Astyanax mexicanus: one gene and its partners. Each later gene encodes a partner of the first gene's protein in a complex. Links are inferred from orthologs where the notes say so. Each region holds a gene or a part of one and is shown on either strand. Other genes may lie near its edges.

Region 1 (6,947 bases):
TTTTGAGATAGTAAGTCCTTATTTTGAGATGCTCATTATTTTGAGGCAATATGTCATAATTGTCAGATACTACCTTGTAATTTTGAGATACTAAGTCCTTATTTTTAGATGCTCATTGCTTTGAGGTAGTACATCATAATCGTCAGATACTTCCTTGTTTATTTTGAGATAGTAAGTCCTTATTTTTAGATGCTCATTATTTTGAGATAGTAAGTCATAATTGTCAGATACTACCTTGTTTATTTTGAGATAGTAAGTCCTTATTTTTAGATGCTCATTATTTTGAGATAGCAAGTCATAATTGTCAGATACTACCTTGTAACTTTGAGATAGTAAGTCCTTATTTTGAGATGCTCATTATTTTGAGGCAATATGTCATAATTGTCAGATACTACCTTGTAATTTTGAGATAGTAAGTCCTTATTTTTAGATGCTCATTGCTTTGAGGTAGTACATCATAATCGTCAGATACTTCCTTGTTTATTTTGAGATAGTAAGTCCTTATTTTTAGATGCTCATTATTTTGAGATAGTAAGTCATAATTGTCAGATACTACCTTGTTTATTTTGAGATAGTAAGTCCTTATTTTTAGATGCTCATTATTTTGAGATAGTAAGTCATAATTGTCAGATACTACCTTGTTTATTTTGAGATAGTAAGTCCTTATTTTTAGATGCTCATTCTTTTGAGGCAATATGTCATAATTGTCAGATACTACCTTGTAATTTTGAGATACTTAGTCCTTATTTTGAGATGCTCATTATTTTGAGATAGCAAGTCATAATTGTCAGATACTACCTTGTTTATTTTGAGATAGTAAGTCCTTATTTTTAGATGCTCATTGCTTTGAGGTAGTACATCATAATCGTCAGATACTTCCTTGTTTATTTTGAGATAGTAAGTCCTTATTTTTAGATGCTCATTATTTTGAGATAGCAAGTCATAATTGTCAGATACTACCTTGCAACTTTGAGATAGTAAGTCCTTATTTTGAGATGCTCATTATTTTGAGGCAATATGTCATAATTGTCAGATACTACCTTGTAATTTTGAGATACTAAGTCCTTATTTTGAGATGCTCATTATTTTGAGATAGCAAGTCATAATTGTCAGATACTACCTTGTTTATTTTGAGATAGTAAGTCCTTATTTTTAGATGCTCATTGCTTTGAGGTAGTACATCATAATCGTCAGATACTTCCTTGTTTATTTTGAGATAGTAAGTCCTTATTTTTAGATGCTCATTGCTTTGAGGTAGTACATCATAATCGTCAGATACTTCCTTGTTTATTTTGAGATAGTAAGTCCTTATTTTTAGATGCTCATTATTTTGAGATAGTAAGTCATAATTGTCAGATACTACCTTGTTTATTTTGAGATAGTAAGTCCTTATTTTTAGATGCTCATTATTTTGAGATAGTAAGTCATAATTGTCAGATACTACCTTGTTTATTTTGAGATAGTAAGTCCTTATTTTTAGATGCTCATTCTTTTGAGGCAATATGTCATAATTGTCAGATACTACCTTGTAATTTTGAGATACTTAGTCCTTATTTTGAGATGCTCATTATTTTGAGATAGCAAGTCATAAGTGTCAGATACTTCCTTGTTTCTTTTGAGATAGTAAGTCCTTATTTTTAGATGCTCATTCTTTTGAGGCAATATGTCATAATTGTCAGATACTACCTTGTAACTTTGAGATAGTAAGTCCTTATTTTGAGATGTGCATTGTTTTGAGGTAGTACATCATAATCGTCAGATACTTCCTTGTTTATTTTGATATACTATGTCCTTATTTTTAGATGCTCATTATTTTGAGATAGTAAGTCATAATTGTCATATACTTCCTTGTTTATTTTGAGATAGTAAGTCATAATTGTCATATACTTCCTTGTTTATTTTGAGATACTACGTCCTTATTTTTAGATGCCCATTATTTTGAGGTAGTACATCATATAATTGTCAGATACTTACTTGTTTATTTGGAGATACTAAGTCCTTATTTTGAGATGCTCATTCTTTTGAGGCAATATGTCATAATTGTCAGATACTACCTTGTAACTTTGAGATAGTAAGTCCTTATTTTGAGATGCGCATTGTTTTGAGGTAGTAAGTCATAATTGTCAGATACTACCTTGTTATTTTGAGATTAAAGCACATTACACTGAATATTGGCCCTTGTTAGTAATAGGTGTTGAGCTGTGAGATTTGTGTGGTGTGTGAGAAATGCTGAGTTATCTACTGAGCAGGAATACAGAAGGGGTACCTGGTCGATATCTCTGCTCGGATCTGATGTTCTTCCAGACCCTGAGAGGGAGCACAGTGCAGCATCACAGAGACCTCTGGATCCATGGGGTGTTTATGATGTTTCTTATACGTGTCAGGATCTTCTGCACCCTCTGACAGAGCGGCATCCATCTAAACGCACTGAACACACCGGGCTAGCTCAGCTCAGCTGCTACAGATATGCTAGTTCAGAAATGCTAGCCGGCTAGTTACAACTAGCTAACTAAATTAACGTAACCTTCATAATCATCCCCCGGCTGTAAAGAAACCCATGGTCCAGGGCTAAACCTGCAGCTAGATGAGCTGTTGGTGCTCACTGCTCTGATATTACACAACACAGCACAGTGAGAAACAGAGTTAAAAAAGACAGGAAACACCTGAACAAGGAACTGCAGCTTTGTAGTTTTCTAGTTGTATCCCCACCTATATTCCGACAAGTCCCGCCTACTTTACAGTGATTGGCTAAAATCAACCGACAACCGTCCAATACCCTGGTGAGTTGTTTCTTGTTGTGTATTACTCGGTCAGGGATGTCCTGAAACTTTTGATCGGGCTATATTTAAGGATATTTGTGTAACACCATTATACAGCTCAGGAAAAAATGAAGAGACCACTTCATTTTCAGAATCAGTTTCTCTGATTTAGCTATTTATAGGTATATGTTTGAGCAAAATGAACATTGTTGTTTTATTCTAGAAACACAATTCCTCCCAAATTCCAAATAAAAATATTGTCATTTAGAGCATTTATTTGCAGAAAATGAGAAATGGCTGAAATAACAAAAAAAAAAAAAAAGATGCAGAACTTTCACACCTCAAATAATGCAAATAAAAAAAATCATATTCATAAAGTTTTAATATTTGCTGGAATAAACCTGTTTTTTAATTACGGTTTTCATGCATCTTCGCATGCACTCCTCCACCAGTCTTACACACTGCTTTTGGATAACTTTGTTCCACTCCTGGTGCGAAAATGCAAGAAGTTCAGCTTGGTTTAATGGCTTGTGATCATCCATCTTCCTTTTGATTATATTCCAGAGGTTTTCAATTTGCTAAAATCAAAGAAACTCGTATTTTTAAGTGGTTTCTTATGTTTTCCAGAGCTGTACATAATATACAAAAAAATCTTAATTGTATTTGAAACCAAAAAATATATATTAAAAAATGGTTTTTAATCACAGTTTTCATGCATCTTCGCATGCACTCCTCCCCCAGTCTTACACACTGCTTTTGGATAACTTAAGCTTGGTATGATGGCTTGTTATCTTGATTACATTGAGGTTTTCAATTTAGTAAAATCAAAGTAACTACATTTTTAAGTGGTCTCATTTGTTCCAGAGCTGTGCATTATTTTCTAAAAAAAATCTTATTTATATTTAAAACAAAAAAAAAACTATACAATACAATCCAAGAGCATGCAATAATAATAGGTCAAATTCACAGCATATACAATCAACATCACAAACACATCAAAACAAAAACACAAACAAACAACAAACCTAAACAGACAAACAGAAAAAAGTGTGATTCAAACAAAAATTATTGGATTTATGACATTTTTAAGAACTACAGTATTTTTTTTACAGTGAACAGAGGGGGCTGTGTGTGTTGTCTGAGGGGGACTTTTATATTGTAATGCTGTTTCCTGCGCTGTACCGGAAGAGTGTGTGTGGTGTTGTCAGTACTCGCACATGTGCAGGAGCCCTGTGTGAGTATGGAGGCGGTTTACTCCTGTTTCAGAGAGAAGCTAGGGCAGGTGATCTTACCTGGGGACGTGTTCTGCTTCGACGTGTCCGCGGTGGAGGGCAGCGCTGTGCGGGCGGAGCGGGTGATCTGCGGTCCGGGGCTGCGGAGGAACGGGGACGAAATCCTGGTGTACAAAAGTGGGATTCTCCGCCATAAAGCCCCCAACTTGTACTGGATAGACTCCCAGCAGAAGAGGGTAACCTTAACAAACCCCAGCTCACACACATGCTGTCAGTCTATCTGTGTGTTCTGCTGACATGTGAATTTATTCAGTTTCACAGCCGAAGCTCCACACCCAGCTTCTGGTCGGAAATTCCTTGTTGTCCAGATTCGATTCTGACCAGTATCAGTATCAGTATGGGGGTGTGATTCTATTTGAGTTAGATTGTTTAGCTGGACTACAAGCATCATCAACCTAAACAAGCTAACTAGTCAGGTCAACAGTATGATCAAGCTTGATCAACCTGGATGACCAACATCTCTTAACCTCATTCACCATCAAAGACCAGCTTAGACCATCTGAAAACAGCTACCAGCAAAAACTATTCTGGAGTTGGCTGGGTTTTTAGTTTTGAAAAAAGGTCTGACTACAGATTCTTACGTACAGCTCTGAGGAAGAAAATAAGAGAGCACTTAACAATTATTGCTTATTAGTTTCTTTGATTTTAACAGATTAAAAACCTCTGCAATATATTCAAGTGGAATATGGATGTTAAACCTATGTATAAAGTGTTTGATTTTTTTGCACCAGTAGTGGCATAAACTTATCCGAAAGCATTGTGTAAGACTGGTGGAGGAATACATGCCAAGATGCATGAAAACTGTAAATAAAAACCAGGGTTATTCCACCAAATATTGATATCTGAACTCTTAAAACTTTATGAATATGAACGTGTTTTCTTTGCATTATTTGAGGTCTGCAAGCTCTGCATCTTGTTGTTGTTTCAGCCATTTCTCATTTCTCAATAAATGCTCTAAATGACAATATTTTTATTTGAATTTTGGGAGAAATGTTGTTTGTGGAATAAAACAGTGTGTATTTTTCTCAAACATTAACCATATACAAAATCAGAGAAATTGATTCAGCAACTGAAGTGGTCTCTTTTTTTTTTTTTTAGAGCTGTATTACTTTACTGTACTGTAATATATATAACTGTAGTACAGTATCAAAACATATGTTTAGACACACCTTCTCATTTAATGTTTTTCTATATTTATTTTTCTAATATTTATTTTATACATCATAGATTAATATTAAATACATGAAAACAATTAAGAGGGACATGTGAAATTACACAGTAAACAATCCCCTCACCTCAACCCAACCCAATCTCCAGGAACACCGTCCTCAGTGAAGACACTGAGATTAAAATGCCAAGAATGTGCAGATCTGTCCTCAAAGCAAAATGAGCCTACTTAGAAGAATCTAAAGTTTAAAACATATGTGATTCTATATAGCTTTAATGTCTTCAATATTAAATTTACAATGTAAAGAAAATCGTAAAAAGAATGAAAACACATTAAATGAGAAGAGGTGTGTCCAAATTTTGACTGGAACAATATAACTGTTGTGTATATACTGTACATGCTAAATCTTTTAACTGATCATTTTCTCCAGTATGTTCCAGTTAAGGGCGAGAGTGTGATTGGAATAGTGACTGCAAAGTCTGGAGACATCTTTAAAGTGGATGTTGGAGGCAGTGAGCAGGCATCTCTGTCCTACCTAGCGTTTGAAGGAGCCACCAAGAGGAACAGACCCAATGTGCAGGTACAGTACCTTTTGAAAAAAGCATGCTTCACTGCTTACACTGTGTGTTTATAGCAAAATCAGTAGCCCAACATAGTCCAAACTAGTATTTCTTAAGCTTGGTCCTGGACGCCCACATTTTTCATGTGTTTTCATTGTGCCAAACTCACCTAATCCAACTAATGTATCCCACAGAAACAGATATTTTTTTATAACAGATATTGTTATTTAATTATTGCAGCTCATTTAGTTTGTCTGACTGTTTGTTTCTGTGCTTTATAGGTTGGAGATCTGGTTTATGCACAGTTCACTATTGCCAACAAAGACATGGAGCCGGAGCTTGTGTGCATAGATAGCTGTGGGCGGGCCAATGGGATGGGAGTATTTGGAGCGGACGGGCTTCTCTTCAAGGTTTCTCTGGGATTAGTACGCAGGTATGCAGAGTGCCAGCAGCCTAAAAATACGATGATAATGCTGTACACAAAAGACAAGAAAAATACATCAGAAATCTTCTGCTTAGCATTCAGTCTAAATCCTGCAACATTCAGCATTCTAATCAAAGTCTGTTTCATACACAGAAGTTTTCTTAAAGCCAGATAACATGGTGTTTTTTGTACTGCGTAGATAAACACAATCTTTAAATGAATTTGCCATTTTCTGTAAAAATATGCATAAGAATTCAAAGCTATTATGTCTATTTAAATGTTTAAAAAAGCAATAATTTACCTTATTTGTAAAGAATATATATATATATATATATATATATATATATATATATATATATATATATATATATATATATATATACATTTGAATGTAAATAGAAGAATGAATGTTAGAAATGTAAAATGCTATTAAATTAATATTAGTGGTGTTAATTAAAATTATTGTATACTTGTATGTTTGAGGGGAGATAAAGTCAACGTGGGACGCTGAAATAAAAAATGTATGACAAATTGTATAGAGGAAAAACCTTTAAATAAAAACCTTTTTTTATTTTTTATTTTATTGTACGGGTAAACATCTCCGCTTGGTTGTAAGGATTTCTTCATTAGAACTTATTTCACTGAGTATGAAAATCTCAGGAAGTGTTTGGTATTGCACACATTACAGCAGATTACAGTGAAAGTTGGAGTCAAACTTGGTGGCAAAATTATTATTAAAAATAA
Region 2 (7,777 bases), on another chromosome or scaffold:
AACATGAGATCATTTTCACAGTTTCAAGTCCTAAAAGTAAATTATATTTTGTCATTTATTATTAAGGACCAATATTACATATTTGTGAGTGGCAAAAGTATGTGAACCTCTAGGATAAGCAGTTACTTTAAAGGTGAAATCAGGTGAGAGTGGGCAGAGCCTGTTCTATGTACAGAACTGGGATCTATTAACCTCTTGAGACCCAGTGTCCTCATATGTGGACATTACAGTTCTGCTTCTCTGCACCAAGCTTTTTTAAAACATTGACCCTTTGGCCTCATATGGAGACACTGCCCGTACCATAAAGTGGACTCAACATGACAACATTACACTAAATTGGTTGAAAACCAATCGGCGGGAAGCCCAGTCAAAGGTTTTTACAGCCATTCCAGACAGAAACATGGGCCAGGTAAAAATTATCCTCCACTTTTATGTTTGAAATTAGTTTATTCTATTTTTGTAGAAAGCTAACATTTAGCTGTTGCACTAATCTTGTCCTTCTGATCCCAAATTGAAAGGGTCTTTTTTAAATGTTAAAATTTAGCAAAAATGACTTCCTGTACAAGGACAAAGTTTAGTATTTATACTTTTTAGGTCCTAGTAATCCCAAATACCTAGGAGAAAGTAAAAAATGTCAGGCTTATGTCCAGGCCTCAGGAGGATATAGTCAGCTCTTCACATTACATGTTTGTGGAAGTGTATAGTGGTACGAACAAAGGAGATTCCTAAAGACCTCAGAAAAAGAGCTGTAGATGCTCATTAGTCTAGAAAAGTTACAAAACCACATCTAAAGAGGCTGGACTGCAGCAATCCACAGTAAAACAGATTATAGTGTACAAATGAAGGAAGTTCAAAACCATTGTTACTCTCCCCAAAAAATAGTCTACCAACAAAGACCACTCCAAGAGGTCACAAAGGACCCCAAGATAACTCCTAAGAAACCGAAGGCCTCTCTCATGTTGACTCATGTTTAACTGAATGGTGCAGATAAATTACTGCCTCATAAATGAGGAGCAAATAACACAATATGATATATCTCCTGAACCAGGAATGAACACCAATGACGTTAGTCACGCGATTTGACCAGCTCAACCAAGGTTCCTTTAATCGTGATCCAGGTGCCCCACTGTCCTGCAAATGTACTGCTTTCCCGGTTCCCTTCCCTCGACTCTTTTAGATGTGCAGTGGGTGTGTTGTATTTATTTAGCCATGTTGGGTAGTAGAAGCTGAAGCAGGAAATGTACCGTACTTTAACGTAGATGTCGATCTGGGAGCGTGGGTAGAGCTGGGTGAGGACAGCAGCCTCGAAGGTCTGTTTCAGATGGAGACTCATCTCACTGGACTTGCGGTCGCCGTGCGGCCGGCGCTTCCTCTCCGCAGTGCTGAACGTGGCCATGCTGTACTGGCAGTTGATGACGGCGCGGTCGTGCAGGGTCCTGCTGCGGGACCCTCTGACCTGTAAGTACACACTGATCAATACATGTTACATGTAGGAGACCCTACACACACATCTCACAGTTCAGTGCAGTGTCATTTAGCTTCCATTTTTTGTTGATTTTTAGTTTAATTTATAATTTTAGCACACACACTGTCTTCTACACTGCATCAAAAATCCTTGAAGAATGAATTAATAGAAAGTCTCGTAAAATACCTGAAATAAATTATTTTACATTACCAAGTGAACCTGGCTGCACTACTACAATGGGTCAAAACTGGTCAAGCTACATTAAAATTAATTGATTTAAGCTAATTCTTTATTATTATTATTATTTTAATTAGTTTCAACAGGTATATTTATTTAAAAAAAGAAAAGACAGTTCAAAGCTGTGACCAGTCTATGTAAAGACCAGTTAGCTAAATAAATGTGAAACCATAAAATGTAAAGCCAAAATATGTGAAAAGTTTTGGTAGAAAAACTTGGTTAAAAATTAAAATGTAAAGTAAATAAATGTTACATTTATTTCTAGTTACACTGGGGGTGTCTAGTAGAGCTGCAACGATTAGTTGATATAATCGACAATGTCGATTATTTATATTTGTCGACTACAAATTTCATTGTGGACTAATCTACTAAAAATTAGTACTTTCCACATTTAAACAACATTTGAATGTTTATATATCTTTTAGATCTCATACTCAGCTGTTTCTATAATTAAATATAATATATAGTTATAAAATAAGACAGAGAATGTGGCAGAAATAATCGTTGACTAATCGAAAAAATAATCATCAGATTAGTCGACTACCAAAATAATCATCAGTTGCAGCCCTACTGTCTAGTCCCTCTTAGGTATAAAGCTATAAATGTGTAATCAGAATTCCCATGTTGATGCATCCCTATAACATGTGTCTATACAAATATTAGACCGCCTTCTAAAGGTGACATGAGGGGTCCTGAGTATTAGAGGACAATAATAAAGTATACAATGAAACAGGTACAGAACTACAGTCTGTAATTATAGAACTACAAAATGCTATATATTGTATAAACAGTGGAGCTGCAAAAATGGACAGTTTTTTGTGCAGAAACAAAAAGGTGGTCATAATCTCATAATGTTATGCTTGGTTGGTGTAGGTGCACTATATCTATATGGACAGAAGTGTTGGGACTCCAGCACATTACAATTAAAGCACTATAACTGCAATTCCATCTTTAGTTATTATAATATAAAGTTTAGTACAGTACTGTTCTATTTACTCTATACCCCCTTTCCCCTGCTGTAAGTTACCCCCCCGGGCTGTAGTTACCCCTGCCCCGGGCACTCCTCACCTCGTGCGGGCCGTACACCACCGCCAGCGCCTTGGTGTTTCCCTGCTCCAGGTAGGCCGACCCGTCCGCCTGAGCGAACACCCCCATCCGGGCCTGCAGCTTCCGCAGCTCCGCCGCCCTGCGCCCGTCCAGCCGGTACCCCTGATCCGACAGCAGCTCCAGACCCGCCATGATCACTCCCGCACACACAACACGTGTTCCCGCACTACGGGTCCCCGCACAGCCCAAAACACCGACTACTGACCGCACACCGAACGCCCCCTGCCGGCCGAGCTCCCCCTTACCATATATATGTACATATATATAAAAAGTAAAAGTACATATTTAACGTAAATCAAAATTTTAACAAATGTGTACAGTTTTTAGCACATTATTTTACCAAACTATATATAAATGGCAAGTAGGCTGCACTGTCAATGTTCTCCAATTTATAAAAGATAGATATATAATATAAATATCACAATTTATGTTTAATTTAAGCTGCATACATTCTACATAAAAAAAATATAAATATGAAACAATCAAGAGAAAAACAAACAAACAAGAAATTGTATATGTATGCAACCTTGCTCATAAATATTTTCCTTAAAAAAAAAAAAAAAAAAAAAAACATCTGGGTTGCTTGCACAGTATGTTTTGGGTCATTCCAGTCAGTTTTGTTGCATTTGGCTGAATCTGAGCTAAAAATAAAAACCCTGTAACTTCAGAACTCCTCATTCTGCTTGTCTTCCGTCACACCAAAATCAATATTTGGTGGAATAACCCTGGTTTTTATTCACAGTTTTCATGCATCTTGGCATGTTCTCCTCCACTAGTCTTACACACTGCTTTTGGATAACTTTATGCTGCTTTACTCCTGGTGCAAAAATTCAAGCAGTTCAGTTTGGTTTGATGGCTTGTGATCATCCATCTTCCTCTTGATTCTTGGAAAAGATATTTTCAGAAAATTTTAATATGAATAATTATTATTCTGAGAAATAAATTAATAAAGTTTTGTCTTTAGTCATGCTGGGAAGTCAACAGTAAATCACAATGAAAACATTTTTTTTTTTTTTTTTTTATCCTTGGCTCAAACTGCATTATCCACCCAAAGTGCACATTACTGTTATTAGAACATAGAGACGTCAGAATAAAACATACCATGCAATTTTAAAAATAAAATTTATTAGCATCTCTAATGTGTATAAATAAAAACAGAGATAAGAAACAAATGCATGTACGCATTATGAGCAGAACAAGAAGAACTGAATTATGTGATACAGAGGAGCCGAGGCCGACTGAGGCCCCAGTCAGGTTTTTATAATCCTTTCTTCAGAACGTTAAGTGTGTCTGTGAGAATGTACCTCAGAAAATCAGGCTTCGCAAACCATACGAATCCCTACGAGCTGCAGCTCTACATTCTGTCAGCAGAAAGAAATGAGGACTGAGGTTCAGCAGCAGAATCAGGGGCACACTGGGGTGCAGTGGTGGGGGGCAATTAAATTGAACAGTTTTAGAGTTTAGGTTTTGGACGAACTCTAAAAAAACACAAAACCACAGGTTTTACACTGACATGCCAAAAGTCAGGGGATAGCATTATGTAAAATAATGCTTTGAAAATGCCCACAAATTAATAAATAAAAAAAAATGTCCATTCAAACAGACTTAAATTGACTCCAGCAGAAATCACATTCACATTCGATTCAGAAGACCCCACACACATATCCCACAGTTCGGAGTAGTTTTGGACAGGTCAAAAGTCATGGGAATATTATTTACCATTCCATTACACTTGGCATGTCAGTGTAAATCAATAATCACTATCCAAGAAACAAAGCACATCTCCAAAACATCGACTTAACAGAAGAAGGAAAAACTTTAGTCCTACTTTGTAATAAGTGTCTCTAATACCTGTGTGGTTACACATTAACAACCATGTAATAATAATGATAAAAGATTAATTGCAGTTGTACAGGTTATGTAATTACATGTATATCAGTGCCAGTTAGACATAGATTAATATTTTGTCCTACTGTCCTTAAATTAATCTAATTAATGATATTGGAAATGTTGGAAAACTGGTGTATTTGATGTGGTGCAGTGGATAACACCACCACCTGCCACTGAGCTACCATGTAGGAGACTGGGGTTCAATTCCAGGTCTGGGTGACTATGCTGTGCTACACCAATAAGTCCTTGGGCAAGACTCCTAACACTACATTGGTCCACCTCCAACTTCACTCCGGATAAAAGAATCCGCTAAAGGCCATAAATGTAAAACGAGTTACACATAAATAGTAATTAAATTACTAATTACCAGACAATACCTGGAGAAATATAAATATATTCACATATTCCAAACACATTATCACATGTGATAATTTACACAAATTATGACATGTAATTTCACTTGCCCTATTAAAACACAAATTGTAAAAAAATGACTATAAACACACATCCAGTTACATAACCGGTACAAATATAATAATTCTGTACCGTTTTGTGGTACAGAGTGTGTGGTTACATAGTATGATATTCCATAACTGTTAATGTGTAACTACATGTGTAATGTGTAACACTTATTATAAAGAGATGCCAAAACATTTCTTAGCTTTTAATGAAAGTCAGTGTAACAGCATTTCATTCTAACCCATTTGGCGCAATTCTATTGGTCCGTTTATCATGGAGGGTTCACACAATGTAAAGGTATACAAGAAAAAGCTGCCGGTTCCAAACAATGCAAAAAAAATAGTATATAAGATTTTGTTTTTTGGACAGTGATTTGTAGGTTTTAAACTTGTTTAGCATTTTTTTTCTCCAAATAATCAGATCTTTAAAAGTGATTAAACATTGTTTTTTTTGTGTAATACCATTAAAATGCTAGTATAAAGAACCATTCTGAGATCTGTTTTTATCCACCAAAAATGGTTCTTTGATTCATCAGGAAGCAAAAGTGGTTCTTTTATGGTATTGCACAAAAAAAGTCAGTAAAATTATTAATTTAAAACTTTAAATAAATATATTCCTAGTAATGCTGTAGTAATCCAATCAGATATTTAGATATCATGTATTCATCTTAAACCCTGTTTACACCTGGTCACATCATGTGGCGAGTATCCAACACCTACAAGTGCATTTATTACATTATTTTAAATAACTAAGTTTGAAATGTGAAACTCATATATTATATAGACGTATTACACACAGAGTGATCTATTTTAATCATTTATTTCTTGTTTTGTTGATGAGAATGTCTTACAGCCAAAGAAAACCCAAAATTCAGTATCTCAGAAAATTGGAATATTATATAAGACCAACTGGTACTTTTGGCAGTGTGCAAAGTCCTGCTGGAAAACGAAATCCAAATCTTACAGCACTGCATGGTTTCCCCTCTGCTGATGCTTTTATGGAGGTGCAGATTTTATTTTCCAGCAGGACTTGGCACACTGCCCAATAAGATCAACTGGTCTTGTATAATATTCTAATTTTCTGAGATAGAAGTGTTGGAAGTGTTTCTGAAGTGGTTTGAGTTATACGATTTGTATCTGTTTATAGTTTGCTTGTGTCCAGATATAATTCTAATATTTAAATTCTATGAAATGACCAGGTGTAAACAGTCTTTCTGTGCATTAACTTAAACAGTCTCCTTCTTTTAAAGTAAAACGAATTAGTACAATACTTATATGACTCCAATATAACAGGGTATCTCTAATTATGTTGGCTCAGTAGTGTTTGGCTTTCTAAGGCAAACATGGAAGTAGACCTGCCACGATAATCACAATTACTGACTTATCAATGTATTATTACATGGAAATTACCTCAAAACATATTGCATACTGTAATATGGTCCATTACCTTTACTTGTGTGTTTGCTGTGTTTGTTGAAGAATGAACACAAACAGAAATTGAGCCAGCTTTAACTTTTAACTTAAAATCTGGAAGATCTCCAAATCTATTAAGAATTATTAATAAATAGTTCTATTGCAATGTTATGATATAATATCCATATATCAGTGGCATATGGTAGTCTGAAAATTCCAACAATATAGTTTAGCTCAATTACTTTCAACAATATAGAACAATTAAGCATACCATTATGACCACAACTTGTTTCTACACCTATTATCCATCTTATCAGCTCCACTAATCAAACAGGACACTTTGTAGTTCTATAATAATTACAGACTGTATTTCTGTTATTTAATACTCAGAACCCACACAAAAGAAAACCACCACAGAGCAGCTATTATTATTAGTATTATTATTATTATTATTTGGGTGGTGGGTCATTATTATTCTCAGCACTGCAGTGATTAGCGCTGATTAGCATGGTGGTGGTAGTGTATGAGGCATTAGTAGTGCGTGTTGTGTTGGTACAGTGAGTAAATCAGATGCAGCAGTGCTGCTGGAGTTTTTAAACATCTCAATGCAGTCATCTTCTTGTGAACACTGATGAACCACTAGATAAAAACCAACACTGTAAACTGTGTAGCAACAGCTTCAGAGCTTCTGTCTCTGACTTTACTTTATCTAGAAGGTGGAGCAGCTGTAGGCAAGTGTGTGAACAGAATGTTTAAAAACTCAAGCAGCACTGCTGCTGTACCTGATCCACTCACTGTACCATCAGCACAACACACACTACTAACACCTCATACACCACCTTCACCATGCTAATCAGTGCTAATCACTGCAGTGCTGAGAAAAATCAATGCACAATACACAATTAATAATAGTAATAGCTGATCTGTGGTGTTTTTCTCTACTGTAGGGTCCTGCGTATTGAAGAACAGGTTAAAAAGAGGTGTATAAAGTGTCCTATATGATCATGGGAGCTGTAAAAAACCAAGAAGGTAGTCATAATTATATAATATATGTTTGATTTGTGTGTTATCATGACAGGCCTACATAACTTTTCCACCTCCCACTGCCACCCACAGCTCTATAGTTTTGGTCAGATCTGAAAATCTCCCACTGTCTGAAGTAAACCTCTTTAAAACCTGACAGCATAAAAGGAACAAATAGAATAGA
Region 3 (6,842 bases), on another chromosome or scaffold:
TATTAATCAGCCACCAGGGAAATCATCACATGCTGTAATTATTCCACGTGAAGTTTAAACAGTCATATGCTAAAATTTTATCCCCTCTGGGCAAAGTACTGTACATGGAAAATAATGGATTTTATGCCAAAAAAATCTCAGCTCAAAAAACTAAATAAAAAACTTCAACTCTACAGTAGAAGGAACATTCTTCTTATCATACAATGAAAATCATGTATTAAACACCTTTGTTCCTAATAAAAAAAGTAATTTAATAATATAAGATAAGCCTTTATTAATCACACAGTGGTAATATTTGCAATGTTACAGAAGTGCAGAAAACAATTAATACTGAAGACATCAGAACTTTAAAGGAACACCTTTTAAACTTTGAAACGATTTAGTGTCGGAATTTCACATATGAAGGAATGTTAAATAAAGGTGGTTTTAATGCAACCAAAAATGTATGTTTATTTAATGTTCCTTGTATCAGGGCTGGTTTACAAGTGGAGGCCACATCTATGTTCAATACATACCAGGTGCTGGTCAACGAATTAGAATAATTTGAAATAGTGAAATCATGACATTTTTTGAATGCATTTTTTGTGCAGAAAGCAAATCAGGTGTTCACCGCACCTGTCCTACTCGTTAGACTAATCACAGAACTCGTTACCTGGAAAAAAATTTGCTCAGCTGAGCTTTCCAAAAGGCCCATTTAGGCCATTTAACTGTGACACTGTTGTTTTATTGAATTAGAATAATGGACAAACCGTTTCATTGAATTAGAATAAATGCTCGAATTTTTGTTTTCTGTGAAGAGTGTTCACTGTGCAGTATAAAGTCAGGGTTGAGTAGAATTTCTAAGTTGTAAAATCAATCATGGGTAAGCAGCGTGACCTCTCAACCGGAATAGTGGCTCAAATTCAAGCCCTTCGCCAACAAGGCTTGACCCAAACTAAAATTGCTGAGCAGCTCGGCATCAGCCAGTCTTCCGTCTGCAAAGCTCTCAAGAAAAACTGCAGCAAGCGCACCAACTGTTCCGGCGTCCGAAAAACTTCTGCTCGCGACAACAAGCAGCTGAGAAAGATCGCAGTCAGCAACCGGTTCAAGTCCACTCCCGAGCTCACCGACTTGTGGAACAAGCAGACCGGCGCTGACGTCTCCAGATCAACCACTTACCGTCGTCTGCGCGAACTCGGCTTCAAATCTCGCGTTCCAGCAGTAAAACTGATGCTGAACAAGAAACAAATGGAGAAACGGCTGAAGTGGGCCAAAGAACACGGCGAGTGGACTGCTGAAGACTGGCAGAAAGTGGTCTTCAGTGACGAATCACGCTTCTGCATCTCCTTCGGTGACCAAGGTCCTCGTGTCTGGCGTCGTGGTGGCGAAACCTACAACCACGAGTGCGTGAAAAGATCCGTCAAGTTTCCCCAGAGCGTTATGGTCTGGGGATGCATGTCCGCTCGAGGTGTAGGGAAACTCTGCTTCCTCAAGAAGACTGTCAATGCTGCCGTATATCAAGATGTTCTGGAAACGTTCCTGATTCCGACTGTTGAGGAACAGTTCGGCGAAGAAGACTTCATATTTCAACAGGATCTTGCACCGGCTCATGCGGCAAAGTCGACCAAAGATTGGTTCACTAAAAAACAGCTTGAAGTTTTGGCATGGCCGGCCAACTCGCCTGACCTCAATGTCATTGAAAACCTTTGGGCCATTGTCAAGCGGAAAATTCGCGACAGAAAGCCTACTACGCTGGACCAACTGAAGCAGAACATCGCCACTGCCTGGGAAGCTGTGAGTGCGGAAACTTGCGACAAGCTGGTCAAATCGATGCCGCGGAGACTTCAGGCAGTCATACAAGCCAAGGGGGCAGCCACAAAATACTGAGAAAGTGATGATTGTAATTATAATAAAAATTATTCTAATTCAATGAAACGGTTTGTCCATTATTCTAATTCAATAAAACAACAGTGCCACAGTTAAATGGCCTAAATGGGCCTTTTGGAAAGCTCAGCTGAGCAAATTTTTTTCCAGGTAACGAGTTCTGTGATTAGTCTATCGAGTAGGACAGGTGCGGTGAACACCTGATTTGCTTTCTGCACAAAAAATGCATTCAAAAAATTTCATGATTGCACTATTTCAAATTATTCTAATTCGTTGACCAGCACCTGTATATGGTGAATATGGTGCTGTTTTTACCTTTATTTATCTTTTATTATTTTATTATTATACAATCTATATTTTGTTGTAAAAAGGTTTTAAATAATTGTAATGCTTGTAAATGCTTTTAGGAATATAATAATCTTATCTGTATTACTTTTTAAAGCAATAGTTTGTCAGTGCATTAGCTGCTGTGCTGTGACATATGTTGATGTAAAAAGGGCTATGAAATTAATTTATTTGAAAACAGACTCAGTTTGCCAGACAGGGGTTAAGCCTAGTGTTTGATTATAGAACGTTTTAAATTTAAATGTTCTGCTAAATGCTTACTGACTCAGTTTAACACATGTTGGGGGAAACACAGCTCTACAGCCCCCTCTAGCGCCACACAGAAAAATCACGTTTTAAGACAGGACAGTGTATTTGGATAGTGAATGTGTCCTTTGTGTACATTATAATGTAAAGGGTAAAGGACACTTGCTTCTCATTATATGTGTCTACACTATATATATATATATATATATATATATATATATATATATATATATATATATATATATATATATATATATATATATATATATATATAAATAAAAACATTAAATGAGAACGAGTGACCAAATATATGAATGGTACTGTAGTATAAGTTGCATACAGTTGTACAGGTATGTGTGCTCTGTTTATTTCAATAGGGTTTATATAAGCTGAAGTGTTTTTCTTTCTTGTTATGGGTTTGTGTTTAAACCCAAAAACATTTTTTTTGACTTTTAATGATTGTTTAGAAATAATTTTTAATTTTGAGATCTGTAGCTAGAATTGTACACTGCACTCTGTGGGGGCACCAAAGCCTAAAGTGCCTTCCACTGTTACACCCACCTCCCCAAGCACAGATTCTATTATTCACGTGGGCTGAATGTTAATATATAAGTGCTTGGCCTTAATTTGGCCTCTTTTAAATAGTCTTAGACATTGATTTGAGATATTTTTTTGTAATTTTGCAGGCTGCCAATTGTTTTTACACAGTATGCCCTTTCAGAAAATCTGTAGATTACATTTTACTATTAGGGTACTTATAGTGCACTTTTAGTGCATTATTAGTGTACAGTACAAGTCAAAAGTTTGGACACACCTTCACATTCGATGTTTTTCTTTATTTAATGTATTATCTACATTGTAGATTAATATTAAAGACATGAAAACAATTAAAGGGCACGTATGGAATTATGTAGTTAATAAAAAAATTGTTTGTCCTCCACAATCCCCTCATCTAAACGTGATTAACTGAGATGGTGATTTTGGATGAGCTGCCTGGAGCTTTAGCAAATATTGTTCAGCGTCGTTAGGAACTCTTTTAACACGCTGAGAAAACAATTTCAAGTGACTCTACGTCATGAAGATACTGAGATTAAAATATTAAGAGTGTGCAGATCTGTCCTCAAAGCATTTTCTGGTTTGTTTAACACTTTTTGGTTTCCAGAATAATTCTGCATGTGTTCCTGTATAGCTTTAAATTGTCTTCAATATTACAATTTTACAAAAAAAAAAAGGTGTGTCCACATGTTAGACTGGTCATGTATTTTGTGCTAAAATGCTGTTGGTTTTGGTATTAGTCCTCGTAGCTTGTGCTTGTTCTATGGTTTCTGGCGGAGTCCCTCTTTATACCAGCAGTGGCCACACGTGGCAGGAGTCTCCCAGTCTGTAGATGTTGGTGTTTCAGAGAAGAAGAGCTCAGCCATTTTAGAAAACACAGCTCTGTGGGACAGCATGGCTGTGGATATGAGATTACCCACTGCCCGAAAACTCATCTCCCTGCCCGGCTCTCTGTCTAACGCTGAGGGTAAACACCTGGTGGTCCCGGGAGATGTGATCACATCTGATACAGGGTTTATGAGGTAAATATGCGCTTAAACAAACCTGCAGGAGGACCACAGGTCTGATCTGACTAGCCTGCTATCCCTACATTAACTAACCTAACCAGGCTAAATTAACTAATATCTGTGTTTTTGCTTCGGTGTCACTGTCTGTTCACCAGCTAAGAGTTAAGATAAGTAACGTGTGTGGCCTGTACCAGTAGCTCGACTGAGAAACACAAACATTTATTTTGTGTATGGGTTCAGTGTTGGCCCCACATATGGATGTTAGTTAGTGATGGGACCAGGCAGGAGGGGATTGGTCAGTGTAAGTTAACGTTTAGCAGTTTAATTTTCTGACCGTATCAAGCTAAATTCAAAAATACAAAATTGAGTATAAAACCTTTTTTTCCATTTAGCATAGTGAAGAAGAAATGTGTTTTGGTCAGTGTTACGTTTATTAGTTAAATTTTCTGACCGTTATAGGCTAAATGCAAAAAAATAGAAAATTGCAAGTAAGAACTCATTAATTCTTTTTTTTAAGTGTAGTGTACAAGAAATAAGTTTTCATACATTTTTCCAATGTTAGTTTTTTAATCTTTGCCCCTTACAATTATAATTTCAGGAAAAAAAAATCTTTTATTTTTAATTTTTTGCATTTTGCAAGTTGGATTATAACATCAGATTTGTGTTACATGATACAAAAATGGACAAATCTGAAAATCGAGAGAAGATTTAACTTTTTATTTTCTTGAAATTCTGTTTGCGAAAGGCTGAAATAAAAAAAAACTCAATAATTGAAAAATGGGATGCAAATCTATTTCTTTTCAGCAAATTAAATTGCTAAACGTTACACTGACCTATTTTTATCTTTTTTTTTCAATTATCTTGTTTTTGTTTTGGCTTTTTCACAACTGTACATTTTATTACAGAGAGTGTTAATAATGTAAAAATAAAAAAAATGTTAAAATCCTGTTTATTAGATGATGTGCCGCAAAAGCAAAAAAAAATCTATTCAATTGAATTATGTGCAACAAAAATTACTGTATTATGCATGAAAGATTATCTGAACAGCAGAATCTTTCTCTGCTGATGCATTTTGTCTGCCTGTTAAAATATGATTATTACTGTTTTTTGTAATACAATATTTTTATTTTTTATTTAAACAGTGTCAGTATATCACCATGCTTACTTTATTGCAATATATTAATGATATTCAGTGATATTGAATCATAACCCCTAGATCAGGCCTGGGCTTTTTAAGGCTGGGGTAGTGGGCCTTTTCATACAAAGCCCTTCACTTATTACGCATCAGTACTGCTTGGGTGGTAAAAACAATAAGAACAACAATAACCCATTTTTTAACCCCCGGTCCACTTTTTAACGCATGTGAATGCATACTTTTTTACGTAAATGTTATGTACTTAATTTCTCACTTCCTGTCTTCAGGGGTCATGGAACCTACATGGATGATGAGAAGCTCACAGCCTCAGTGGCTGGGGAGGTTGAACGTGTCAACAAGCTGATCTGTGTGAAGCCACTGAAGACACGGTCAGTGGTCTTCTGAATGCTGTGTCTAAAACATTACAATTAACATGTATAAGATTTAATATTCTTTGGGTGTTTTTTACAGGTTCAATGGTGAAGTTGGTGATGTGGTGGTTGGCAGGATAACAGAGGTACTATGTTTATGTTTAGAGTTCTCAAAATTCTTACATTCTTTCATACATTTTTAGAAGCACTGTAATTTTAAAATTAGTCATAAGCCTCATCCCTCACAGAAATAAGCAACATTCTTCTCAATCATCTTTACCTATTCTTTCACTGTAGGTTCAGCAGAAACGTTGGAAAGTGGAGACCAACTCTCGGTTGGACTCTGTATTGCTTCTGTCCTCAGTAAATCTTCCAGGAGGAGAGTTGGTGAGCTTAAATACTGATTTAATAATGTTTTTATATAAAAATATTGCATTGTTGTTTGAGTTGCGTTGAGCTGTAATAAATACTGTAAACCCTATTTATTCACAGAGGAGGCGATCAGCAGAAGATGAGCTCACCATGAGAGATTATCTTCAAGAAGGGGACCTCATCAGTGTATCCTGAAAGTAGTGATTGTTTTAAAATAGTGAAATTATGTAATTAAATAAGACTGTGTTATTTTTGATTATGTAGAAAATTTAACTTAACTTGTTCAAGGCAGAGGTACAGTCCGTCTTTTCAGATGGAGCTCTTTCGCTTCACACCCGCAGCTTGAAGTATGGCAAGGTACGAACAACAATTCTTCAGTATGATTTTATGAAACTCAACTGAGAAATATTGATTGAAAAAAATATTGATTTTATAATTTATTGTTTGCTCAAGTCAGTGTAATTGTAGGTACTGTTGAGAGCTTACTTTCATTTTGATAAAAGAAAAATGGACATTAATGCAAAGTTAAAATTTACAGCTCAGGTGCCCATTTATGAATGTAGCTTTAGCTTTTAGAAGAAGTTAATTGACAGGTATATGTTTACCTATTTAAAAAGAAGGTTTAAAATGCATCTTAATATTTGCGACAGTGATATTTCAGTTTACTTGGCCTGATTTGTGTTTTTCCATTCTTAGTTGGGACAGGGTGTACTGGTGCAAGTATCACCATCTCTTGTGAAGAGACAGAAAACCCATTTCCACAATCTGCCCTGTGGAGCTTCCATAATCCTGGGGAACAATGGCTTCCTTTGGCTGTACCCTACACCAGGGCATCAAGATGAAGAGGCAGGAGGATACTACACAAGCCTGGAGGTCAGGAGAACATGATTTTATTAATGGTTGAAAACATAATTTTTTTTCAGCATGTTTTATACTGTGTTTAGAAGT
Region 4 (6,813 bases), on another chromosome or scaffold:
TCATAACGAAAATATTTGTTTTATTGATTTTAAAAAAGCTTTTGATACAATTTGTCATAACGGTCTATTCTATAAAGGGTAGGACCCCCCATATAGCATTACAGTACTACATGTATATGCAGCACAAATACGAGCTGTTTTTACTGTTTGTAGTTCGGTTGTAAAACTGTAATTTTCACTAATGTAAGAACAATAAGAAACATGATGAGAAAAATCAGTTCACATACACAGAGGAAACAGAAATGTATTTATTATGTATGTATTTGAAGGTCAGTGATTCTCAGGTGATGAAGCTGTGCTAAATGCTGCAGTTTGTGTTTAGTGATTAGTAAAGCTGTGATTTATGATGATATCTGAGTGAGAACATGTGGAATTGAGTTTAGAGTTGAGCAGTTTGGAGTCACAATGTGACACATGAGCTTCATGTTTTTGGATTTGTGTGCATAGTTTCATATTTTGTGTTTATAAAATGTGGAAAAACTGTATTATTTCTATTATTATTATTATTATTTATTTTAGTTTTTTATGTTTGTAAAGCTGTTCAAATGGTTTATCAGTATTAAATTGATTTAATGTTTATGTATTTAATTTTGGTTATCTGTATTCCTTAATGTTCAGAAAGTTCACTTGTGTTGTATTAATGCTTTGGCCACACTATTAAACATGGACAATAAAGCTTATTGTATTTAACTAATAAAGAGAGAGAGAGAGAGAGAGTCATTAGTGGTAAACTGTGAGAAACACCATCACTTTCTCACCACAGTACGAAAGTCTGACACAGTAAACACACACACTCTTTATACACACATTATACACACACACACACACACACACTCCTGCAGTCTTTATGTAATGAACAGATTCCTACTATAGATCTGCATCATGGTCTAATTTCAGTGGAGGCTGAATTATATTGTAAATATATTTCTCCTGTAATGATAAAGACATGTAGACTGTTTGTACATTTACCGCTTGTTTTATGTCACATTGTTTTAATGTGTTAAACCACCTATTTTTAGTTGGACAAGACATTAAAACAACCAGTAAATGTTTATATTACCAAGAAAATATAATCCTCTTTTCCTATCTGAAGATTTATCTATCATATCCTGAATTTACAAACATAAGACTTTAAATTCATTAAAAGATAAATCAACCCCAACTCCATGTATGTTTCTGTTTTTCCTATAAATATTAAACATTGCATTGCTATTGGATAATAGGATTTGTTTGGTTATAAAAAAAACTCCACCAGTTAAAATAGTTCCATTGCTGCTCTGTTTGTAGCTGTGCTGTTTGGTTTGTAAGCGCTGCATCGCTGCTAGGTTACCTGTATGTGGCGGAGTAATACATGAAGAGCTTCGGTTACAGTGCATTACCGGCTGATAACGGTACTCATAGAACGGCTCTTAGCCAATCACATCGCAGGGTCGGTACTAATGGTGGTATAATTTAAATATTCCCATTATGTTTATGTTTGTGTATGTGTATATGCACATATATGTGTGTTTGTGTGTATAGTGTGTATAGTGTGTGTGTGTGTGTGTGTGCGTGTGTCTCCTGCATTGGAGAAGTTCAGTCTGGATTGTGTGTGTGTGTGTGTATAGTGTGTATAGTGTGTGTTTGTGTGATTACCAGTTCCACGGTGATAGCTCGGTTGATGCCCCCCGCTCTCTGAAAGGCCCAGGGGAAGTTGAGCAGTCCGGCTCCGAGCGCGGATTTCAGCATGATGAACACGGCGCCGAACGAACCGAGCCGCGGAGCCTCCGTACCGCGCGCGGGTTTGGCCAGCACGCTCAGGCTGCGGATGCTCTCGCGCGCCAGTTCCTCCATAGTGACTCGCGCTCCAAACCGCACGCGCACGGAGCAGGACGGACAGCACGCGCGCACGGAGCAGAACGGACAGCACGCGCACACGGGGAAGGACAGACAGCACGCGCGCACGGGGCTCCTCTTCCTCCGTGGAGATAACGGAGATCTGACACGGCGGGTCTGAGTCTGATGGATAAGCGGCGCGAGCCCGGCGCGCGCTCCATTAAGACCCACTTTAAAATGTCTCACCTGTGTGAGACATGTAGCACAGGTATGTGAGCCCGGCGCGCGCTTTGAAGATGCCAGACCTGTGAGCACGTGCCCGCTCCGTGCCCGGGGTCACCTGACACTATAACACACCCGCGTCAACTAACTGACCACGTGCCAGAGTGTACACTATAGTGCACTATAGGGGTGATCACTCCCTGTCTCTTCTAAAACCGAGACTATTAAACACAGTTTATCCTGCTTTTATTGGAGTAACTGTCTTTACTGTCCAACTCCAACTAATAATAGATAATAAATAATATTAATAGAGTTAATAATCCAGCTGTGTGTAATTTAGTCTCAGTATAAATACAGCTGTTCTGTGAAGAGCTCAGTGGTTTATTAGTGAACACTAGTGAACAAACAGCATCATGAAGACCAAGAAGGAAGAACTCAGCAGACAGATCAGAGATAAAGTTTTGGAGAAGAAGTTTAAAGCAGAGTTAGATTATAAAAACATCTCCCAAAAACATATATTCTACTACTGTTTCAACAAACCTACAAAGACATGAACCAACCATCCACCCAAACTAACAGATCCAGCAAGGAGAGCACTGATCAGAGAAGCAGCCGAGACCCATGATCACTCTGGAGGAGCTGCAGAGATCCACAGATCAGGAGAATCTGTTCACAGAACAACTATAAGTCCTGCTCTCCACAAATCTGATCTTTATGGAAGAGTGGAAGAAGAAAAACATTGTTAAAAGAAACAAGAATTGCTGTTTGCAGTTGCAGCATATCAGAGAATCAGAGAATATTCATGTGTTAGAATGATCCAGTTAAAGTCTACAGTCTCTAGATGATTAAAGCTGGTAGAGACTAAACCCTGAAAAACCTGAAGCTGTAACTTCAGAGAAAAGTGTCTCTACTAAGTATTGATATAGGGGGATGAATACTTTTGCACGCCACCCTTTTAGATTTTTATTTGATAAAACATTCAAAAAAACATGTATCATTTTCATTTCACTTCACATGTATGCATTACTTTATGATGGTTTATCAAGTTTGTGTATTTAAGGAGAGAAAATGTGGAAAAGTTTAAAGGGTATGAATACTTTTGGAAGCCACTGTAAATATATTCTGATTTGCTTTGGAAAATTATTGTGGCTATGTGGAATGTGGCTAAATGGAGCTAAATGATAAAACATAGTAATTAACTGCTTGTCCAGGACATTCCTTTAATTTTATAAAATAAAATTAAGTATTTTAATATAAAGTAAACAGATCAGATAATAGAAGTGCAGCACTGCTTACGAGATTAATAGAGTTTATTATACTGGAGTTTAAAAGCTTTAAGATCAATTAAAACAGTACATTTAGTTCTGTGTGAGGAAACCAGCATCAGCTCACCAACAAGTCAGCTCTCTTTTACTGTGTAAAAATATAAAAATATAAATATAATATACAGGTCATTTTATTTGTTTATTTCTGGAATTTGCTGGAAAAGTAGTTTTAATACAAATTTACAGTCAGTTGAAAATGGCAACACCTGTAGAACACGGAATACAGGACATTTATTATTATTACTACAGTATTGAGAATGAAGTTGGAAGGGGCGGGGTTACAGGACAGAGTGAGCAGGTGGAGGATGTATTTAATAGAAAGCGCCTACAGAACACACAGGACTCTACAGCGCATTATATTATATAAATAATCATACTGACGGGACGTGTGTTTATCAGTGTTCTAAACACAACATAGAAAACACAGAGACTGACTGCACTACCAGAGGAAAAACTCACTCAGTTCAGTCTGAAGGTAATAAAGTTAAATACAGGTCTGTTTGAAATACTTGAGTAGTTTCTTGAAAAATGCGGGACTAATTGACAGGATTCGTTTTTTTTAATATTATCATTATTATTGTTATTATTATTACTATTGTTATTTTTATTATTTTTTGTTTGTTTTTGTTTGTTTAGTTAATTTTTTTAACCTGACGCACAGTCCAGATGATTTATAGAATAAGTCAACAAATTTTAAATTTACAGTTCACCTGGGCTCCAGCACACAGGGAAATGAGAAAACAGACGAGTGGAAAATGAAACTCAGAAATCAAAACAAGCAGAAGTACAGGTTCCAGCAAATTAGAATTAAAGCAATAATCAAACACGGGGATCATAAAATCTGGCGAGACAAATGGGATAAGGATGAGAAAAGCAGGTATTTATACAGTAAACAAGAGTAATAACAGTCAGCTAATTCAGTTCACTCCAGGATAAGATTAGGAGAACATGAGACCGGTGTTCATACTATAATAAACTGAAACCGTAAAGCGTGCGCTGTTTACATACAGGAATTACTCTAAAGAGAGAGAGAACGTCTCAAGAGGATAAGAAAGAACTACAATAACAACTTAGAGTTTAAGTGGTAGAGACTACAGTCAAAGTAATCATAGAGTTTATAAAAAACACTTGCAAGAAGACTTTAGTATGTTTTTATTATTTTATTTTATTATTGGGCATACCAGCCCAACCAAGGTTCAATATCATAGTACAATGATATAATATGTCTAATAATATTATTATATATATTAATATACAGTCTTTTTAGTTGAATATTATTTTTTGTGATTAATAGTATTTTCTGCAGTCAGAAGGAGTATGAATAATATTTTATATATGTACAGTATGTATGAGTATGTATTTTCATAGTGTGGTGTTTTTTGGCAGGAATGCTTTCTCTCCTTCCCATCTCTCTGATTGGTTGTTTCAGGGTTGTTTCCGCTGTCGGCACTAATCTCGCGAGATTAGTGACATTTCAGTTTGGAGGGGCATATAAATGTTTTTTTTGTTTTTTTTAAATATAATACAGAAAATTTACGGAAAACATTATCCGGGAGGACGGGGGGAGAGAGGGGTAAAATACGGTAGTTTTCCGGTCAAAACGGGAGAATTGACCGGTATCCCGGTGAGATTACACCTCAGTCCAGCAGGTGGCGGTAATGCGCTGAGATTGCAGTCTGCCAAAAAACAAACCCAGAAGAAGAAGAGCGGTGTTGCGTGGGTTTGTTTGTAGTCGCGCACGCGGTGGAGGAGCGCGTGAGCCCCGTGTAATAGCCAGAATGCCGGTAGATACGAAGCGCGTGCGCGGACCGGAGGAGTCTCAGTGCCCGCTGCTGTTTCTGCCCCCCGCCGCGCAGACCGCGGAGCCCCGGGAGCCGCGCGCGGGCCGCGGGAACGGAGAGGTGCGGCCGGTGTTCGCGCGCTGCGGTCTCGTGAGCCAGGCGAAGGGCTCGAGCTACCTGGAAGCGGGGAACACTAAGATCCTGTGCTCGGTTTACGGGCCGCGCGAGCCGGAGCGGCGGGACGAGGCCGGGGTGCGGAGCGGCCGCCTGCTGTGCGACCTGCGGCTCGCGCCGTTCTCCTGCGGGAAGCGCGGCGCGTGGATCCAGGGCAGCGGGGAGCGGGACCTGTCGCTCGCGCTCTCCGAGAGCCTGCACCCCGCCGTGTGCCTGCACCGGTACCCGCGCGCGCAGATCGAGGTGAACGTGATGGTTCTGGAGAATGACGGCTCGGTTCTGGCGCACGCGGTGACCTGCGCCTCCATGGCGCTCGCGGACGCCGGTATCGAGATGTACGACGTGGTCCTGGGCTCCGCGCTGCGGCAGGACGGCGGCGCGAGCCTGGTGGACCCGGACCTCGCGGAGGAGCGGGGCAACTGGCTCGCGGGCTACGAAGAGAACCGGGGCGGCGTGACGCTCGCGCTCCTGCCCAACCTGAACCAGGTGTCGGGACTGCACGCGGACGGGGAGCTGCGCGCGGACACGCTGAGCGCCGCCGTGCGCACGTGCATGGAGAGCTGCCATAAACTGTATCCGGTGGTGCAGCAGGCCATCCTGCGGGCCGTGAAGAGAAAAGCCCCGCCCCCTGAGAAATAATTCGTATATACCATAATAAACCTGTTTACACTGCAGGGTCGGAACCGGTTTATGCATCACATGACTGGCGGCAGCAATTCTTGTTGTTCACACTGTGAACCAATAGAAATGCTTCAAATAACTTTAAATAAAATGTTTTTTTTTTTTTTTTTAAACATTCCCTTCCACTGAAAGTTGTTTTGGAGATACGAGTTTTCTGTGTGAGAATAGTGAGGATGCACCGAATCAAAAATAGTTTGAATCAAAAATGGTTTATTATGTTTGTATTTTATATCACTAGAAAATAGTTTTTACATTTATGTAAAAGCTGTGTAACAATAAAATACTTAAAAAATATGTAAAAGTATTCAGACAGTCTTATTTTCTTACACCACAGGTTTCTCTTACGGCTGTTTAGCACTGTTATTATAATGTGTACATGTGCAATAGTGACATCATTAAGCATATTCTATAATGTGACATTTAAGTTTGAAATTATTTTTCCTGATTTATCTGAACCAGTTTAACCAAGGTTCTGGTTCAGGTTCTGGTTCAGGTTCTGGTTCTGGTTCAGGTTCTGGTGGGACTACAGCAAGAGTTGGGCACTAGGGGTTGGATAAAATATTGTTTGCAATACATAATTAATATAATAAAATATACGTTTATTGATGGAAACAATCTATTCTGAGCTACAAAAACATCAGCTCAGAGTTAATTCAGATTGTGTGACAGATTCATTTTAGATCTACTATAATACATTTTAATTTTTACTGCGGTGAAGAATATTGGTTGTTAAATTGTGTGAAATTTAAACACCAGTAAATGCGTAATTGCTTGTATTTGATTATTTAGGAGAATTTTATCCTCTTCAGAAACAC

What was found.
Region 2: exosome complex component RRP40 (region 1) and exosc4 share a complex: the UniProt entries of both Homo sapiens proteins name them as parts of the RNA exosome core complex. The link is inferred for Astyanax mexicanus from reciprocal best matches to the Homo sapiens genes EXOSC3 and EXOSC4.
Region 3: exosome complex component RRP40 (region 1) and exosc2 share a complex: the UniProt entries of both Homo sapiens proteins name them as parts of the RNA exosome core complex. The link is inferred for Astyanax mexicanus from reciprocal best matches to the Homo sapiens genes EXOSC3 and EXOSC2.
Region 4: exosome complex component RRP40 (region 1) and exosc6 share a complex: the UniProt entries of both Homo sapiens proteins name them as parts of the RNA exosome core complex. The link is inferred for Astyanax mexicanus from reciprocal best matches to the Homo sapiens genes EXOSC3 and EXOSC6.

The regions. Positions count from the first base shown.
Region 1 is NC_064409.1:67,969,505-67,976,451, reverse strand, and holds the start of exosome complex component RRP40, read left to right. Parts: upstream 1-3,935; 5' UTR 3,936-3,999; coding exon 4,000-4,227; intron 4,228-5,649; coding exon 5,650-5,799; intron 5,800-6,060; coding exon 6,061-6,212; intron 6,213-6,947. Other genes in the region: uridine diphosphate glucose pyrophosphatase NUDT22, read right to left, coding at 2,267-2,418. UniProt on the Homo sapiens protein: Non-catalytic component of the RNA exosome complex which has 3'->5' exoribonuclease activity and participates in a multitude of cellular RNA processing and degradation events.
Region 2 is NC_064415.1:9,898,937-9,906,713, forward strand, and holds the start of exosc4 (exosome complex component RRP41), read right to left. Parts: upstream 3,002-7,777; 5' UTR 2,942-3,001; coding exon 2,771-2,941; intron 1,457-2,770; coding exon 1,250-1,456; intron 1-1,249. UniProt on the Homo sapiens protein: Non-catalytic component of the RNA exosome complex which has 3'->5' exoribonuclease activity and participates in a multitude of cellular RNA processing and degradation events.
Region 3 is NC_064408.1:20,987,642-20,994,483, reverse strand, and holds the start of exosc2 (exosome complex component RRP4), read left to right. Parts: upstream 1-3,837; 5' UTR 3,838-3,903; coding exon 3,904-4,031; intron 4,032-5,438; coding exon 5,439-5,540; intron 5,541-5,622; coding exon 5,623-5,668; intron 5,669-5,819; coding exon 5,820-5,909; intron 5,910-6,014; coding exon 6,015-6,080; intron 6,081-6,182; coding exon 6,183-6,251; intron 6,252-6,590; coding exon 6,591-6,767; intron 6,768-6,842. UniProt on the Homo sapiens protein: Non-catalytic component of the RNA exosome complex which has 3'->5' exoribonuclease activity and participates in a multitude of cellular RNA processing and degradation events.
Region 4 is NW_026040053.1:743,259-750,071, forward strand, and holds exosc6 (exosome complex component MTR3), read left to right. Parts: upstream 1-4,885; 5' UTR 4,886-5,140; coding exon 5,141-5,956; 3' UTR 5,957-6,292; downstream 6,293-6,813. Other genes in the region: slc38a8b (putative sodium-coupled neutral amino acid transporter 8), read right to left, coding at 1,636-1,833. UniProt on the Homo sapiens protein: Non-catalytic component of the RNA exosome complex which has 3'->5' exoribonuclease activity and participates in a multitude of cellular RNA processing and degradation events.